2 linked regions of the Caenorhabditis elegans genome follow. The gene in region 1 interacts genetically with each later gene. Each region holds a gene or a part of one and is shown on either strand. Other genes may lie near its edges.

Region 1 (5,406 bases):
AATTTAGAAACATTATTCATTCTTTTTAATCATGATATCTCAAAGGATGTTGTTTACTTCAACTTTTGAAAGGATTTTATAGATAAATTGTTATGATTATTTACTTGTTTTGTTTCTTCCTCCAGTATTTAATCTGTGGTCACTTCGTGGTCTTCAAGGCTTTAGGTTCAGCTCATTTTGGTTGTTTAATAGTAAGTCATATGATACGAAGATTCACAGAATGATTTGATAATAATAATAATACGAAATCTCTTTTTCTATAATATTCTCAGAATGTCATACTTCTATAGAATTTATAAATACATTATTACTGTTTTGAAAACCTTTTTTTCCTAATCTATTCGCCGTCAATTTGGCGTTCTTCTAACATTCAGTATTCGAAATCAATGTTCAAAATTTGCTTAGAGAACACCCCAAAATTAGGTTCCGTCCATATCTTGGCTTTTTTCGCCGCCAGATTCAGAAAAAAACTGATTTTCTGTGAGTTCTATTCTATTTTTTTAATTTCTTAAACAATTGGAAATGGTACAGTGTGTTATAAAATAGTTTATTTATTCTGGTTCCTCATGAGAGCACCTCAATAAAAAGTAGTGACGTACATCCATCTGAAACAAAAATAACAATATGACGCCTTCTTAGTAGTACTTATGTTAGTTTCTATTAATGGACTTTTTTTTAAAATAAAAACTCAAAATAGTCAAAGAAATTCTAAAAATGGACATTTGCTAAAATTTAAGAGAAACGATTTCAAAAGATGAAATTATACTTTCCTCCCAACTTTTTTGCTTTTGATAAATTGCTGGCCGAGTTATAACTATTTCTAGGTCACGTATCAGAAGCCGGGTGAGTCTTGAGATCTTCGTGATGCCTTGTCATATCTAAATGAACGAAACTTGAATAAATTAATTAGGAGTCATCGGCTTCATTGAGTTCAGAAAAATTCTGTATAAAACAAAATCAAGATTCAGGTAAATATCTAGATTTTCGATCATTTTGGAACCGCGTTCCTGATATCGAAAAAACTTCGAATCCATTTAAAAGTTGAATAAATCAAATGAAAACTTCCTCTCATTTTTCTTCATTTCTCTCTCTATTTTTCCTTGATTTTATAGGTGATGACGATTCTGATCAACACAAAAATCTTATCACAAACTGTTGTTTCTTATCATTTTTTACACGTTCATACCAGTTTTCATTCCGAGTTCTTGAATTTCATAATTCTTTCATTTCGCCTTTCTATGTAGATATTGAAACTCCGCCCATTTGAGTAGCTCACCTGACTCTTATGACTTACCAGAAGGTTCTATTATCATTTTGGATATAATTCTGTTTTCTGATTCAAATTTTTTTTGAATTTCGGCAATGCACAACGAAAAATATTAATTTCATATATAAAATCATCTGTACTATTTATTATTCTTTATCCCAAATCAGTCCTTTTTTGTGGTCGTTGCTTTTTAAGCTCGGCCCATTTTTTTGGATTTTATTCTAGCCTAACATCTCCTCCCATATTTTTTTTAATTCTTCGAAATTTCAGTTTTAAAACTACGAAAATGGACGATTTTCCTTCACCAGAACCTACTGATCCCAGACTTGAGGCAATGGCTCAAAAAGTGTTAGAAGAAACTATTATCACTGAAGGAGATGTATGTTTTTGAAGATTTGAAACTTTTTTTTTGAATTTTCAACACAAATAGTCTCGCTGGCTACTTTTAAAAATTAAAAAGCCATCTGCAAATTTTAAATTTCATATTCTAGGCCAGCCGGCGAGCAAGTAAGTGAACAAGAAACTTTAAAAAAGAGCAGAGTTGAGAGATACCGTATCTTGATCAAACATCAAATGTCCAGACATATTAGCGAATTTTTATTTTAAAATATTTAGAATCAACCTACATAAACATTAACTTATACGTTTTCTAATTTTAGAATGTGTCTCTCAAATTAGCCTTTTCTTTTAAAACAGGAAACAATTTTTTTTCAAAAATAGTAATACTTAAAGAAACTGAAAGGATATTTACGACAAAAGGTTTTAATGTATGTTGGAGACTCGAAAAGATCCAAAAAAAAAATAAAGAGAAAATTACAGGAAAAGAGAAAAGCCCATATCTTGTTTTTTAAATTTTGTTATAGTAAACTTTTCCTAAGAAATTCAAATCCTTAAAATTGCCCTATTTGAAGTGTCAAGCTATCCTCAACTATTTTTTAGGGAACAATCTACTGGGCTCTCAAAGTTACCCGATTACTCTCTAGAGTAGCTAAAAAACACCAGTGCTTTGAAGCTTTCTACGATGCCGTTATTAAAGGTGATCCAAAAACACGATGCTGTCCTGCACACAATGAGAAACTCATTGGAAACTTTGGACGAGCTATCATGTGTGTCTTGAGAGCATTCAGATTTCCGGTTATTCGATATGAATCTCAAGTGAAATCAATATTAACGTGTCGACATGCATTCAATTCCCATAGTCGGAATGTTTGTCTGAATCCGTATCATTATCGATGGGTTGAACTACCGACGTGCCAAGTTCCACCAATTATTGTAAATAAGGAATTGGATTACGGTGAACCTCCGATTCGGACTGAGGATGCACTGGATGATTGGAATCAAAAGGATTTGAAAGAGGAACAGGTGGTTGCAAGTTGGGATGTGCCAAATGTGACGATGAGAGGAGATGAAATTAAGGTTTGTTGAGAGATGATATCCCTTTTTGAACTCTTTCCAAAATGCAAAATCCAGTAAATAAGTTGCAATTAATCTTTTTTTTTCTTTAGAAATTTTGGAAATTTGCAAACTTACCAAAAACGTTGACTGAAATATTTGCACGTATTTCTACAAAACATCCACTGTCACCCCCTCACATTCAAAAATAAAAATTTCAGCTTCTCTATGATCGATATGCAGCTGAAAACGGAGATTTTCAATATATGAATTACGGAAATTTTGGCTCTTTTGATGGAAGTCCGTGTAGCTCTACCACGATGTCATTAGGATCATCTTTCGCATCGTTACTGCAACAAAGTAATCGACAAGACGACGAGGAACCCGGATATTATAGATCTGGACTCTCATCTCCAGCTAGGTACGAATTTCACTTTTTTGGAATTTTTTTGTTTTTACAATACTGATTCAACAATCTAAAGAACTGGCTAAACTGAAAGTAGAATTCGAAATTCGACCTAAAGGTTGAAAAAAAAATTAAATTTGGCGGTCGGGCCGACGAAACTGTTGAATATTGGAAAAAATTGAAATATTAGTTTAGATCTATAAAACTTTAAATTTACAGTCATGCAGCTTCTCCTCGAGAGTTTATTCCAAACGGAAATGATACAATAAGTCTGGATCAAGAAATGATGGATGATTCCGAAGTTAGTGACATCATGCATTCCGAGAATTTTTCATCAGAGAACAATGGAAACCGAAAGCCAACGTATGCAGATGGACGGCCTATCACACCAATTGAACCTCGACCACTCTATCGATCTTCGGCATTAGAACTTGGAGATCTGTCACGACAGGCTGGAATATATGAATGTGTAGAATATGAAGAGTCGCCGAGTTGGCTGAAATTAATTTATTATGAAGAAGGAACGATGATTGGAGAGAAAGCCGATGTAGAAGGGCATCACTGCCTGATCGATGGATTTACAGCTAGTCGCACTGACTCAGAAACCAGAAGGTTTGTATCATTGACAGAAGCCCTGGTCTAGAACTTACACGCATCTGAATTTTAACTACATTCACTAGTGTACACTGAACTAAAACATAAATTCAAGTAAATATCAAAATAACATCATTACAGCCGTTTCTCGCTTGGTTGGTACAACAATCCAAACCGCTCTCCACAAACGGCCGAAGTTCGTGGTCTCATTGGAAAGGGTGTTCGATTTTACTTGTTAGCTGGTGAAGTCTATGTAGAGAATTTGTGCAATATTCCTGTTTTTGTACAGTCAATCGGTGCAAATATGAAGAATGGTTTCCAATTGAATACTGTATCAAAGTTGCCTCCAACTGGAACTATGAAAGTTTTTGACATGAGATTATTCTCCAAACAGCTGAGAACAGCAGCTGAGAAGACATATCAAGGTGAGAGTGAATTAGTAATTTCTATTATATCATATTACTTTTCGTCCAAAGTACGGCTATTGTGCGATATATCAAAATTGTCAACTAAAAATAATTTATAAAAAGTTTTTGACATTTTTTGGTGTATAGTTTTTACCGATGCAACTTTCGGAGAATACGAATTCTCAAACCTTCTAGTCAGCTACATTTTTTTTCTTCCAACATTTCAGACGTCTACTGTCTCTCACGAATGTGCACAGTTCGTGTTTCGTTCTGCAAAGGTTGGGGAGAACACTATCGTCGTTCAACCGTCCTCCGATCGCCTGTTTGGTTTCAGGCTCATTTGAATAATCCGATGCATTGGGTCGATAGTGTACTCACTTGTATGGGAGCTCCACCACGTATATGTTCATCCAGAACTTAGCTTCTTTCTTTGCCAAAATCCTAATCTCCAATTTGCGTGTGATCAATTTTGTTGATAGAGAAAGGTTTTTATTTTACTCTAAAACATCAAAACGAGTTTTAAAATTTTTTATTTAAAAATTTAGATTTTAAACTTTTTCTGTGTATTTTTACATTGTTTTTGAGGGCTTTAGAACTGCTCGAGATTTCTTTTTGCAGCTTTTAAACGACTTATGTCAACTTTAAAAGTGTTTACAGTAGCCAAATATTCTAGAATCCTTGGAAATGTAATTTTGGTCTGATTTTTTCCGATCGAGCTTGATGGATTAAATTTAATATTATCAAAAAAAAAAACACTTTCAAAAAGCTGCCAGGATATTCACTTAAATATAAACCCCCTAAAATCCTTGGAAATCATCAAAATAGTTATCCGAGCAGTTTTACGTCCGTCGAAAGTAGTGCACAGTTACGCTTAAAATGTTTCAGATCGAAATTTTATTTATCCAGAAAGTGGCTTAGAGTTTTACAGTGATCTGTTTTCAATAAGTAATTTAGTATTTAAAAAAAGTTTCGTTTTGATATTGGAGCGTGAAATCAAAACCTTTTCTTGCGAGAGTGGAGCACTTTACTTGTGAAAGGATCGGTTGAAAGGAGGAGGTTCTAAGAATTGTAGATCTAAATCAAACGTAGGCGGCAATTGCCAAATTTGCCACGTTATTTGGAAGAATTTTCTGAAATTGAGTACTTCAAACTGATTTTAGACAAAAAAATCCCTAAATTTGTTCGGTATTTATGTGGGAATTTATCTTAAAATTGTCAATTTTGCCCATGAAATGATTAGATAATTGTTTGCCACCCACGCCTGATCTGAATCCTCCACAAGTAAAACTCCAATAACCTCAGGTTTCATTAATTGTCCTTTTCCCCATTTCTCTCTTTCA
Region 2 (4,180 bases), on another chromosome or scaffold:
AAAGCGGAAATTTTTAATTTTAGTTTGCAATTTTTCCTCAAAAATACATTTCTGTGAAATACGAACAAGTGTGCGCTTTAAAGTTAATTTATTTCATAGTTTTTTTGCGAAAAAATGTTTCTTATACCAAAAATAACAATATAAACACATAAATATTAACGAATCGTGAGAAAAAGTAGAAAAAATTGATAAAAAATTCTGCAGGAGCGAGAGATTGAAAATACTGTACTTTTTAAAGGCGCACACTTGTTTGTTATCTACGAAACACTGTCGTGTCGATACCGAGAACCGCATTTACGGGTGTGCGCCTTTAAAAATTACTGTAACTTAAAACTTTTGTGGTATTTTTATCGACTTTTCATGGTTTTTATGTCTTCATATCGTTTTTTTTTGATAATTTTTATTAAAAAAACAAATATATTACCTGCTGTGGTGCACGAACAGTTCTTGTTGATGACGTGCTGGCATGATCTTTGCGAGATCTCTCGCTCTTCAGACATCCACGACTTGAAGAGGAACCGTCAGTTTCAGCCCCGGTTTTGTCTGAAAAAAATAAATTATTGATTTTTATTCAATCTGAATGAAAAATTCGAATTCTTACCATCATTATCCAGTGAAACATCAGATTCGTCAGAAGTGTTATCGAAGAGTCGTCGCGCAGGAGCATCTGGCACATTAACGCCATTATTTGCTGGGTTTCCAAAATTTGAAGATGATGGAATGTCTTTGTTCTGTTCTTCCGATTGAGACATGTTGTAGAATGGTGGAAGACGAAGAAGATGATAAGAGTGACAGTTTAATTACTGAAAATGTGCGAAATTTTATATAGTTTTATTTATTTAGGAAACAGATAGTGAAAGTTTGGGAGGAGTTGAACAGTATAAAATAAGAATGACAGGCAGAATGGCTGGGTAAATATTATTCAAATACAAGTATTTTCAAAATTCCGCAAATTTGAACAAGTTTTCATTTAAAAAACACATTTCGAACGGAAAATTTGGGTAAAAGAAAGCTTGGAACATAGTGAAAAAGGACTTTGCGAACAAATAAATTAAAATTTGCTTGATTTCAATTTGTTTTTTTCATTTTTTACAGAAACAACAAATTTCACAGCAGCGTTCTCCTGACTATCACACTTTTTTTTTGAAACAAAAACGAATAAAACAAGCTTGAAATAAAACTTTTGGTACCCAGACGTCTCTGGCCCCAAAAAATTTAAGTTGACGGGTGTCGACAGAGGGAAATGAGTGGCTTTTGGAAGGAGACCTGGGGCCACCAGTCAGCTTCTCGCTTCTTTTTTTTTCTCTAGCACTCTCTCAACTTTACAATACACTCTACGCGCTGCTGCAACTTTTCTGTCAAGTTGTCTGCCGTCTCTTCAGTTGAACTTGGTTTACTTTCGTGGCGAGACACATCAAAGTGACGGCCGACATGTGCCTTTGAGGCTGATGAAATTATTCCCGCAATTTCCAGAAATTTTTGCACTGATTCTGAAATAAAATGACGTTGCAATCTTTAATTTTACTCTTCGTTGTTCAAAAACTTTTCAATTTTATTCTCGTTACAATATTTCACTCTTCATTGACCAAATTTCGCAAATAGAGCGCTTAAATTCAGATTTTAAGTTAAGCATTTAAAATTAATACTCTTTTTTTTTAATAATAATAATAATTTATTACGCTCGCTGGGAGACGTGAAGGAATATAGAATACAAAAGTTATCATTGTTCGCTCGAACTAGAATTGGTGCAGTCGGGCAATCGTTTCCATTCCATTAGAATGTTGTCCTTGTCCTTGCGTTGTCCTTGCGTAGACTCCCCCATAGTGGGCGAGCGATTCCCGAGTGAAAATAATCACGGAATGCCATTTTTAAGCGATGCCATTTTCTATTTCTTGAACTATATATTTTTAAGAATATTTTAATCTGCGCTTTATCATGGATTTTCAATTCAACTTTATATTACTTTTCTAACTTCAATATAAAATTATTTAATAAATATATTTTTATTTTTAAGAAAATGTCCGAGGAGATCAAGCCTTCTGCTCCAGATGCGCCGACTGCTTCGCCAATTGTGACCAGAGACGAGCAAAATTTGGTTGTCTCATTCCTTCAGTTTATCCGCCAGAAGGTTTCACAAAATCAGGCCACTGCCGAGCAAGCGGAAGCTCTTGAAGGTTTTTTCCTATTTATTTCTATAAATTTAGCTTAAGATATATTAAAATTTCAGTTGCAATTCAATGTCTCGAACACTCGTTTGGTCTTGATGATGCCTCATACGCTTTCCAACCATCACGCCCAATTCTCGAACTTTTCAAGAGCGCCGAAGGACTTCCAGAGGGAGAATCTGCTCTTCCAACACCGAGCGATAGTGATATTTCTCAAGCTAACAAGCTTAAAGAAGAAGGAAACGATTTAATGAAAGCCTCCCAATTTGAAGCTGCTGTTCAAAAGTACAATGCCGCCATCAAGCTCAACAGAGATCCAGTCTACTTCTGTAACCGCGCTGCTGCTTATTGCCGCCTGGAACAATATGATTTGGCCATCCAAGATTGTCGTACAGCTCTTGCCCTTGATCCATCTTACTCAAAAGCTTGGGGAAGAATGGGTCTTGCATATTCTTGCCAAAACAGATATGAGCATGCCGCTGAGGCATACAAGAAGGCTTTGGAGCTTGAACCAAATCAAGAGAGTTACAAGAATAATTTGAAAATTGCTGAAGACAAATTGAAGGAGCTGGAAAGCTCGCGACCGGCACCAGGTGCCAATCCATTGGCTGGGCTTTTGGGAGCCATGGGAGGAGGACCGGGAGGAATGCCGGCTATGCCAGGAATGCCAAACATGCAAAACCTTATGAACGAGCCAGGACTTATGCAAGCTGCTTCACAGATGATGAGCGATCCAGCACTTTCTGATATGGTAAGTATCAAATTTTCGGGAATAAAAGATTTAATTGAAATGGCAATGCACGTGGCCGTCAAAATTAATTGTTTTTCATTATTATTGCTTGTTTTTTGATGATGTATGCTCTAAAATATTGAATTTTTCAGTTCAACAACATGATGTCTGGAAATGGATCAATCGCTGATTTGATGGCTGCTGGCCAGCAAATGGCTGCTCGCATGCAAGAGACCAATCCAGAACTTATTGAAAATCTTCGACGCCAATTCGGCCCCGGAGCCGATGGAGGAGCACCACCACCAAACCCACCACAATAGATAATCTCTTCCGCCAATCTCCTTCCGCATCACGAATTTCCATTTCGTTATCTCTCTCTCTCTCTCTTTCCCCTTCTCTCGTCTTTACTTTCTGCTCTCATGTGATTTGAAAAAGCCGAAGTCGCTTATGGTTACTCGTTTTTTTTAGTTTCTCTCGCAGAATTTCCCCTTACAATGATGATGTTATAATCGCCCCCGATTCAAGCCTTATCGAAATATTGTTTTTAATTAGATGGTCATGTTTTAACTACCAACAAAAAATTGGGTCAATTTTCTTTTTTTTCACGAATAATAAATATTGTCGAAATATTCTTTCCATCACAGACACACTGGTTGCAAACGCGCTCCAACACGAAATTATCGATTTGCACCCAAACGAAAGATAGCGCGGGAGTACTCACATTTTCTTTATTTTTGATTTTTTTGTTGAAATATTTTAGTATTAAATTAAACAATTTAAATTGTAAAAAACCTCAAATTTGAAAATAAATTCAGAATGCAACGCCACGAAAGGATTCGATTTTTCATAACTGAACAATGTCGTAATCTGGATCCAACGTATAGAAATTATGTAGGAATTTAATTTTCTGTCAATCTAAATTCTTTTAAAAGTTATTTTCAGATGTACCCGAAACAAATTCTTCTCGGTGACGTTCCTCTACCACTTCTCCCTAATTCTTCACTGACGTTTCGAGTCAATTCAGCTGTAAGTAGAAAATTTATTGCGTGACGAGCATTATTGTGTTTTAAAAACTCTAAAAATGATCAAATAAATTTAATTTTTTTTAGGAAAAAATCTGCTTCCGTATTCGACTTTCGATTGATGACAGCCAGGAACCATTGAATATTGGAATTCCATTATCACAAGTTGAAAGTGTTTCAATTAAAGATCATAGTGCGAAACATCCAGAACCTGCTCTTCTTTTTTTACTTAAGAAAGGAGCTTTAGAGAGATTTATTCAGGT

Evidence for each region.
Region 2: of daf-8 (region 1) and sgt-1, changing one enhances a phenotype caused by changing the other (phenotypic enhancement), as found in Caenorhabditis elegans (one study listed by BioGRID).

Annotation. Positions count from the first base shown.
Region 1 is NC_003279.8:8,583,637-8,589,042, reverse strand, and holds daf-8 (Smad protein daf-8), read left to right. Parts: upstream 1-1,535; 5' UTR 1,536-1,553; coding exon 1,554-1,646; intron 1,647-2,206; coding exon 2,207-2,683; intron 2,684-2,880; coding exon 2,881-3,080; intron 3,081-3,284; coding exon 3,285-3,677; intron 3,678-3,800; coding exon 3,801-4,084; intron 4,085-4,293; coding exon 4,294-4,487; 3' UTR 4,488-4,619; downstream 4,620-5,406. UniProt on the Caenorhabditis elegans protein: Probably a receptor-regulated SMAD (R-SMAD) that is an intracellular signal transducer and transcriptional modulator activated by TGF-beta-like daf-7 signaling.
Region 2 is NC_003280.10:4,901,631-4,905,810, reverse strand, and holds sgt-1 (SGTA homodimerization domain-containing protein), read left to right. Parts: upstream 1-2,014; 5' UTR 2,015-2,017; coding exon 2,018-2,174; intron 2,175-2,227; coding exon 2,228-2,916; intron 2,917-3,047; coding exon 3,048-3,215; 3' UTR 3,216-3,523; downstream 3,524-4,180. Other genes in the region: btbd-10 (BTB domain-containing protein), read right to left, coding at 425-543, 602-752; R05F9.9 (MSP domain-containing protein), read left to right, coding at 3,712-3,786, 3,838-3,921, 4,005-4,178.